Drosophila melanogaster: one gene and its partner. The protein of the gene in region 2 interacts with the protein of the main gene of each other region in a pairwise test. Each region holds a gene or a part of one and is shown on either strand. Other genes may lie near its edges.

Evidence for each region.
Region 1: the proteins of EbpIII (region 2) and sphe interact in a two-hybrid assay, tested with the Drosophila melanogaster proteins (one large-scale study listed by BioGRID).

The regions. Positions count from the first base shown.
Region 1 is NC_004354.4:16,699,458-16,704,021, forward strand, and holds sphe (spheroide), read right to left. Parts: upstream 2,516-4,564; 5' UTR 2,441-2,515; coding exon 2,220-2,440; intron 1,956-2,219; coding exon 1,427-1,955; 3' UTR 989-1,426; downstream 1-988. Other genes in the region: CG9676 (uncharacterized protein), read right to left, coding at 1-399, 455-681; CG9673 (uncharacterized protein), read right to left, coding at 3,499-4,051, 4,173-4,405.
Region 2 is NT_033778.4:24,023,778-24,028,251, reverse strand, and holds EbpIII (ejaculatory bulb protein III), read right to left. Parts: upstream 2,081-4,474; 5' UTR 1,951-2,080; intron 1,877-1,950; 5' UTR 1,754-1,876; intron 1,707-1,753; exon of another isoform or gene 1,636-1,706; intron 1,570-1,635; exon of another isoform or gene 1,249-1,569; 5' UTR 1,238-1,248; coding exon 857-1,237; 3' UTR 734-856; downstream 1-733. Other genes in the region: HSPC300 (haematopoietic stem/progenitor cell protein 300), read left to right, coding at 128-237; Ak2 (adenylate kinase 2), read right to left, coding at 2,605-2,820, 2,885-3,052, 3,116-3,352, 3,832-3,933; Xxylt (xyloside xylosyltransferase), read right to left, coding at 4,302-4,474. UniProt on the Drosophila melanogaster protein: Protein component of the posterior mating plug.

The sequences.
Region 1 (4,564 bases), on a different chromosome or scaffold from region 2:
GGACCACCGGAATCCCCGTAGCAGGCACCCTTATCCTTGGGATGCAGCAGGCACATCGTGGTTTCCGGCAGCTGGCGTAAGTACGTCTTCTGGCAAGATTCCCGGGATAGGGCCTTCACCTGCACGTAGAGCAGGGAGTTGGAGATCGGTCCGCGCTGGGAGATGGCGCCCCAGCCGGAGATGTCCACGGTGGCATCGTTGGGCGGATCTTCGGTGGCCAGCTTGATGGCGGCTATGTTGGAGTTAAAGGTCAGCGAGTTGCGAAGTCGCAGCACGGCGACATCGTGGCCATTGGAGTTGTAATTGGGATGCACGGTGACGGTGGCCACTGGAACGCGAACTCCTCCGCTGGAAAGGAGCAGGCTGCCCGCCTGAATCTCCAGCTCATTAGCTGGAGCTCTAAGGGCAAGCACTCTGATTGAGAAACGCGAAATCCCGAAGATTCAATACCTACACATTGTTGCCTTGCTTAACGCAATGGGCGGCGGTGACAACGTAGTCCTTGGAGATTATGGAGCCACCACAAGTGTGGCTTCCACGTCGACGTAGTGAGATCTGGTGAGGAAACTGACCCTCCCTCGCCTTGGTGCCGCCCACAATGCGGGGCTCCACTACGGAATCGTTTTGTGCCAGGACTCCGGCTGCGCAAAGGACGAGTAGAGATGTCCAGAATGGTAACATGACTGGTTGGGCTTAGCTAACTGAAAAGCAGTGCTCACTGCAAGTTTCACTGGATGTATATATATATATATGTATATGTATGCATATATACTACCCAAATCTAAGACGCTCATCATCATTAGTTCCTTAAAATGTCAAAGTCAATGTCGCTATCGAGCTGCTGCCTAATTTAGTTTAGTTACCCCATTTCGTTCGCAAATGAAGCCCCTCTAATTACAAGGGGTGTGCAACGCACGGTGGTAAGAGTTTGGAGGTCAAAGTTGGACGAAAAGGGTTAAGGAAGCACGAAAATGTTTAAACGAAATTTGCCGAAAGTTTCCTATTGCATAATTATTGCACATTTATTATAATTATTAGATCTTAAAGTGCAGATCTCTTCAGTTTCGAACAGCAAAAGAAGGCATTTAAAAAAAAGGTTTGGTTTTGGATTTTGAAAAGTCTTCAAGTTTCCTTATATAACTAATTGTAGGCCCAAATTACGTAAAGCTTGCCTAAATTGACCCTAAAACCGGAATGCTTTATCGATGACTCGAGTTCTGGGCTATAAAAGCCATGCCATTGAGGTCATAAATACAATAAATAAGCATGCTTAGTTAGCGATTATTACGTTAACCACAAGTCCAGTGGCAATCACCGATCCTTATCCTTATCAAAATCAAACTATTGAGTCATTTTGCCCGCTTTGAGTTTGGGAAAATAGTTTCTATTTTGTTAGCTTGTGAAGGAAAAACGGGATGAAACGGATCTAGGCGATCTGCTCCTGGATCCAATCCGCGTAGCTGGAGAGTCGGACAAAGACATCCGGATAGCGGGAGCCACAGGCGCCCACCACAAAGTTGGTCAGCCCGATCAACGTGTTGCCATAGATGGCACCACCGCCTCCGTCTCCGTGGCAGGTGCCCTCCTTCAGCTCGTGGGCGAGGCAGAAGCTCTGCTCGTCGTGATCGCTGTACGCATCCAGGCAGGTCGCCTCCGGGGCCACCTTTAGCGATATCTGACGGATCTTGTAGGAGTTGGTGCCGTCGCTGGTGCGTCCCCAGCCGGCCACGATCACCTCCGATCCCTCGGCGGGCAGTGCCTCTCCGCTGGCGACCAGCGGGATGGCAGTGATCCGATCGGTGTAGGTCAGCTCAGAGCTCAGCGTGATCACGGCCAGGTTGTTGTTCAGATTATAGTAGTCCGGATGCACTGCAACCGATTCCACGTTGACAATCTTGCCACCAGCATACTGGTTGGTACTGCCCACGCGGCACGCCAGGCGACTGGCATCGATTCTGTTGGGGATTTCGTGAGAATAATCTAGATTACTTTATCAAGACTTTTGTATTGAATGTATTGTATATAATGGTTTAAACAAAAAGGGAATACATGGTTATTCGAGGCATAGGCCATCTTCAAATATCACTCATTCGCCTAGTTGTACAAACCAAACTACATATTTGCTACTTCCACTATTTAAGAGCACTTAATATTAATAATATGAATCAATTAATTAGTAGTAAAAATTAATTAATTAGTAGATTGACTTTGGTACTCACAGCTTTCCATCGCGATGCACACAGTGGGCGGTGGTCAGGATTTTGGTCTGGGAGAGAATGCTACCGCCGCACACATGGGCATTGTCCACCCGCAAGGAGGCGGTGAAGGTCGTGGCTGTGGCGTCCGCGTCCTCCCCTCCCATGATGCGTCCCTGGGCGTGGCACATGCCCACCGCCGTCAATCCGATCAGACCCAAAATCACTAGTCTCGGCTGCATCATTTTGTTCCTGTATTTTTTTTTTGGTTTTTTATTTGGTGGTTCTGCTACCCACGGCAGTTGGAATGAAAATGCGCAATGCCAGCGACGAGAATATAAGAGACTAGCTCCATATAACTACCACCTCCTCCACCTTCTACCCGAAGTTCTCCACCACTTCCTTGACCAATCCTTATCTTCGGCTTGGGCATCAGAGAAAATCTAATCTTATCGCCTTATGGCAATGGCTTTATGCCGCTATAGACTATTGTTACTTGTTAGTTCACCGATTAATTGGCACATAAATAGAAAATTGCACAAGTCGGTTGAAGGGAAGTCCAAATAAACCAAACGACCAGTGTCCAGTGACAGTACAACTACAACCATCTATAGGAGATAATGATGAGTAACACATGACTCAGGGGAGCTACGGAAATTAGGGTGCTTCAGGTCTCAGAATAATCTAAAATCAGTCGTGGAAAACTTTGGATTTTTTGAGTTGCTCTTTCAATAAAATGTCTAAACATTTTGGTGTTAATTAAACTCTATAAAATTGCCTTGAATGTAAGCAAATTATCAACGTATTTAGTAGGAATTACCCTTTAGCTTGGCGATAACAAATCTGGATTATAAAGATTTAGCCCAGTCATTGGCGATTGATCAAGCTAGCTGCACAAAAGTTTGGTTCCCAGGTTGATTACGGCGATTTCCTTCGATCTCTATCTAAATGTTCTGTTAAATAGCCATACTCTCTAATATATATGACTCCATAAACAATAATAGCCAATTGTTGTGACCATTTACTTGGCAATTTTGTTAGATAATCCTTGACGGCATCCCATAAATTAGAAACAGGTTTCAAGGTAATTTCTTAGTAATTAAAGAACCTTTGAACGGCGCCAATTAAATGTTATTCTATCGATTGTAGCTTTATGACCAGCACTAAATTCCATATAGTTTGCATCCATATAAAGTTAAAAACACAAAACGTTTTTTTTTGTAGAGGGAGTAACACACTTTATGCACATGAAAAAAATGTATAAAAAAATAAAGGGTAGTCCTTGGATGGCGAACCAAAAGTTTTACTGGGTATTGGCCTCGATCCAGGTTAGGTAGTAGGAGACACGGGTGGCCACATCCGGATACTTGCTGCCGCAGGGTCCGAAGTTGAAGCTGGTCAAACCGCGAAGCACCTTGTCGTCATCGATGACAGCCGCACCGGCATCCCCACGACAGATGCCCTCGCCCTCGGCTCTCGAGAGGCAGACGACGGATTCGTAGCCGTATCCGGCTTCCCATTCGCACAGGGATCGGCTCAGCGTATTGTAGTTGGCCTTCTGCTGTTTATAGGATGCAGTACCATCCGAAAGTTCACCCCATCCAGCCACATAGACCGGAGTTCCGTTGGGCAGCTCAGCGTCCACATCTTCCGTCTCCTCATCAGTTGTGGGGGGCAGTGCGATGTCTTGGATGCGATCGCTAAAGACCAGGGTCTCGTCCAGCTCCAGTATGGCGATGTCGTGCAGGAAGTTTCCGTACGATGGATGGATGATCACGCTCTTTACATTCACAATGCTGCCGCCGGCGTACTGGTTAATGGTGCCCAGGCGAACAGCCAAGGTGCTGGCATCCACTCTGGGGATTTAGAACAAATAGGGATTAGAACTGGTAGATGAATATATATTCTTAAAGTTCTCAAAGTGAAGTGCTTAGGGAATCCAAGTGTATATAATCATAAAGTGTAGTTAGAACTCACGGGGTGATGCCCACGCTGGACACACAGTGGGCGGCGGTCAGGATGTGGTTTGTTGAGATGATGGCGCCGGAGCAGACGTGGGCCTTGTTGTATCTCACGGATGCGGACCAGGGGTACTCGCCCTGGGCAACGTCCTCGCCGCCAAGAATGCGACCTTGTGGCGAGGCTTCCGCGGAGAGGATCAGGCCAAAGATTAGCAGGCCGAGGCCGAGAGTAATGCGTGGATCAGCCATGGCGATGGATTGGCAACTGAATGGGCCCATCAGCCAACGATCGGTGGTCACCGCCACTTAGCGATCTAATCGATGGGCATTGTATGGCGATAAGGAGAGCGACTTGAATTTATGGGGGTAACAATCGTGTGGCGATTAGATTGCTTAACCCATGGTCGT
Region 2 (4,474 bases):
TGTGATAAATGATAAGCCAAAGAGTGCGAGGTAGTTGGGTTGCTAAAATATCCCATATCCTTAATAGGGTTTATGTACACTGTTGGCATTATAAACTGTATCATCGTGTGCTATCATATCCTTTCAGATATGTCCTGTCGCTCCCGTCTGGCGGTGCTGAACGAAAAACTAACGATCCTGGAGCGGCGCATAGACTATCTGGAGGCGTGCGTCGCCCAGGGTGAAACATTAACGTAAACGCTGCCCACAACCTTATACTAAGCTTTGTACATTTATAAGTAATTAAAATACTGATTTAATATTTAATATCTTTTGATTCGCAATGTGAATTGCCGTGACATTAATAATTCGCTGTACATTGTTTGTTTGTTCTTTGAAGGAAGGTTTTCACGGCTGAGTTACTTGCGGCCATCGGATTCGATTCATTGCCCCTTTTAAGAATAATATAAGTAATAGCTCAGAACCAAGACAAGCACGCGATGTTTTTGCCAACTAACCGTAGCTGCCTTTATTGTCAATGTTAATGCAAATCGCCCGCCATATATAAGCCGCTTATTAGGGTCTAGTCGTAATCTTGTGAATGTTTTTTCTAAGACCTTAATTGTGCTTAGATTAATCATCGTTCTAGTAGCAGGAGGCTAGACTTAAGTGCTACATTTGTCATAGTTAATTTATATACTCTCTGAAGCCTGGCAAATCCCCCTTCGATAACGATATAATACTCGGCAGGTGTATGGTAAAAAAACAAATCTCTTTATTCCGAGCACGATCGTAGAAATAATTTTGATGATCAGATATAAGCGTAGACCTAATTAACAGTGCATATAACCAAGAGTTTCCGGAACCGGGATCCGCCTTACACCTTGATTCCCGAGGCCTCGGCGGTGGCGCGGTAGCGCTTGATGTAGATCTCATCGGGATCGTACTTGGCCTGCAGCTGCTTCCACTCCTCGGGCTTGTTTTCGATGATGTAGCGAATGACCTTGTCGGTGTTCTGGCGCTGCTTCTCGCTGCACTTGCTGCACTCCGTCTTCAGGGCGTCCGGCAGGGACTTCTTGAGCTCCCGGCCCTCCGGGGTGCACTTTCCGTTGTCCACCAGGCACTTGAAGTAGTTTCCGAAGAGGCGGTCCGACTTCAGGATCTCGTCGACGTCGATGTTGTCGTACTTGGTGGTGTACTTATCCTCGGCGGCGACCAGCACCAGTCCAAGGACGACAAGCGCAAGTATCATCTTCATCTTGGAGTTTTCTGCGGGCGAATTGGGGTAAGTATGTTTGTACGATTAATCAGCACTTTTGTGGCTTAGTGGGTCTGTTGGTCGGGCAACCAGTTTTGTGCGCAGGGGATTTTACTGGGCAATGGAAAAATATTTTTACTAGCCATCGAGCGCGACTGCATTCGCAAAATGTATCTGTGGACTTATGGGATTTGTATGCAAATTAATGCACAGCCAGGCAGGCCACTTTGTATGCGTATCTGAAACACATTCGCTGTCTGAAAAGATGTCACTGTTTATACACAATGAAACTGGTTGCCCGTCTGGCTGCGTCCATGAGTGTGTGGACTACTACCAGCCACCAGTCGACCAGCCGAGCCGATCGGCTCCAAAAACTATAAACGGTGCGGTGGTCTTACAATGGGGCTCGACTTGTGGGGCGACTCGGAGCGAATAGATGTGAAGCAATTCAGCTGCTGGAACTAACTGAGAAATGTTTCTATGAAGTGGGCTTTTATACCTGGGCCCACTTTTTACCTGGGATTGAACTTCAAGTGTAATACACAACACAAACCGCGCGCTGTGAGCCTGTGTTCGAGCTCGGCTCGTATCCATACGGGATTGCACACACTTTAGACTTTGAAGCGAAAATCGCTATTGCTGAAAAGTCAACCCAGTGATTAGTCAATCGTCGTTATAAATTTATATAATATATGTGCGATAGTTATACACACTTAAATTGACATTAACATTAGGCAGGTGACGTCTGAGTACTAAACGGCGATCGAAAGTCGCTCTGCGAGAGATTCGCAGCCACGATGGACGGGCTAACTTGGCGATATGTTATTTGTTTACCAGATTTAACGATCTCATTAGCGATTTCCATTAGCAATTTCTCATTTGTTACACTTGAGACCCGTGCAACATGACCCTTTAATAGTCGCTTTAAAGTTGATTGCAATAATAAATAGTTCTCGGAACAATTAGTAGCTATCCATCAAACGCTAAAAACCTCGATTCGAAACTGAGTCAGCCGCATCATATTCCAGAAGCTTTCCGGAAAACAATTGTGTGGAAGTTTGAACTTGGCGTCGTCCATCCCTCATTCGAACGCAGCCCAGTTTAAAGCAGTCATGTCTCGTAAAATGTACTTGTTTCCTTCGATTTTTTTATTAAATTGTATTGTAGTTACAAATAGTGAAATGTAAAAAGTAACAAACACATACACTTTAGAAATCTGTACAAGGAAAGTAGTCGACCTGCAAAGGTAATTTCGTTTGTTCAGGATTTCCGGATGCAACTATAACTTTAGGCTTAAACGTTGTGTGTGTCTCGAAATAAATTGTCAGGAGGCAGTTATCAGTAGTTGATCATTGCGCAGGAACAAATCATAACTGGATCTGGGCAGGACGCTTGCGTTGGAATATAGAGTCGATGGTGGAGAAGACGTCGCTGGACTTCTTGGCGGCGTCCACCTTGAAGTGCAGACCCCTCAGGCCGTAGTAGTCGACCAGCGGCTTTGTCTGCTTGTGATATGCTTCCAGTCGCTTCTTCAGAGCCTCGGCGTTGTCATCGCTGCGACGGATTAGGGGCTCTCCAGTGACCTGCAAGTACACAAGGTCTGCTTTCATTTAGAGTTCTTGGATAGCGTCCTATAGAGATACTTACATCGTCCGTCATTGGCTTCTTTGGAGGGGCAAACTCTTCGTGATACGAACGCCCGCTGGCCTGGTGGATCAAGCGGCCAGTGATGCGCCTCACCAACAGACTGTCGTCGATGGCAAACTCGATGACAGCATCCAAGTTGGTTTTCCTCTTGTCCAGCAATGTGTCGAGCTGCAAAGTGCGTTTCGAACGGATTATAACCTAAAGTCCAAAGTGCTTCACACGTGTGGCTACCTTCTCAGCTTGAACGACAGTCCTGGGGAATCCGTCCAGGAGGAATCCATTCTTGCACTCGGGCTTGTCCAGGTTGGAGTCGATCATGTCCACGACCAGGTCGTCGGAGACCAGTTTGCCGGCATCCATGACCTTCTTCAACTCGGCTCCCAGCTTCGAACCGGATGAAATCTCCGCCCGCAGCATGTCGCCGGTCGACAGGTGGCACACGCAGAACTTCTCCTTCAGCAGGGGAGCCTGAAATGGGCATAATTAAAAACATTGATAAGTTTCAGTTAGAGCTAATCAATTAATCAATTTAGCACCATATCGGAAGGTAAGCAAGGTAACCAATCGGCTAGATAAGATGCATTTCTTGAGGCCAGGAATGTTCTGGTAGCCTTTTAATAGATGGTCTGCATAATACCCAATCGATTGCCTAAAGGTGTTCCACTTAATTCGCCACATCTCGCCAAGGCTTTGATTTGATTCAGGGTCAAGAGAAAGACACTGCTTGACGCATATGTACATACTTGGCACGTAGATACATACATATACATTTCCATGTACACATCGTCTTATATAACTTCACCAGTTTTAATTCTCTTCCAAGAGAATTAACGAGCTTCACCGATTATTTGCAAACAAAAACCGCGCACTTGAACACGTTGTATTTATTTATAGACTACATGGCGTCCGTGTCACAAAAAACACATCATTATGTAATTTTGACCCACCTGCGTTCCTTTGCCGGAACCCGGCGGCCCCAGGAGAATGGCGTTGATCCCGATGTTCTCAGGCTCATATCGCTCCACTGGTACTGCTGCATTCGGCGCCATCGTTAACTACGTATGCTCGACTGATTATTCGGGACTGCTCCTAATTCATAGCCAAACGGAGCCAGAAATGAAGGTTAAAGATAAGAAACAAGAGGCGAAATCATTCACACGAAACACCCTGTGCGGCATATTCCCACTCTGTTGCTTCTCGCCTATCGATAACATTCTTACATCGTTTTGATATTTTAAATGGTGATAGGTGTGGGCTGTCTTTTATCTTTAAATTTCATTTTTATATATCACCATTTATAATGGTCTATAAACTAAGATTAAATTCACCGTATATTACATAACGTTCCATTACAATAGTTATACCAAATAAAAATACCCTGCATTTAATTAATTTAATATTCCTATAACAATTTTATTTATTCTGGAATTCGCGTATTACAGTTGCCATGGTACATTTTAATATTGCCCTCGCACCGGAAATAAGCGTCGAATATCTGTGAGTATCCGTGATCCTTCCACCAGGTGCACAGCTGGCGGTTCCAAATGCAGTCCAGTCTGTAGATTAAGTTCGGGTACTCGTATCCCAGCA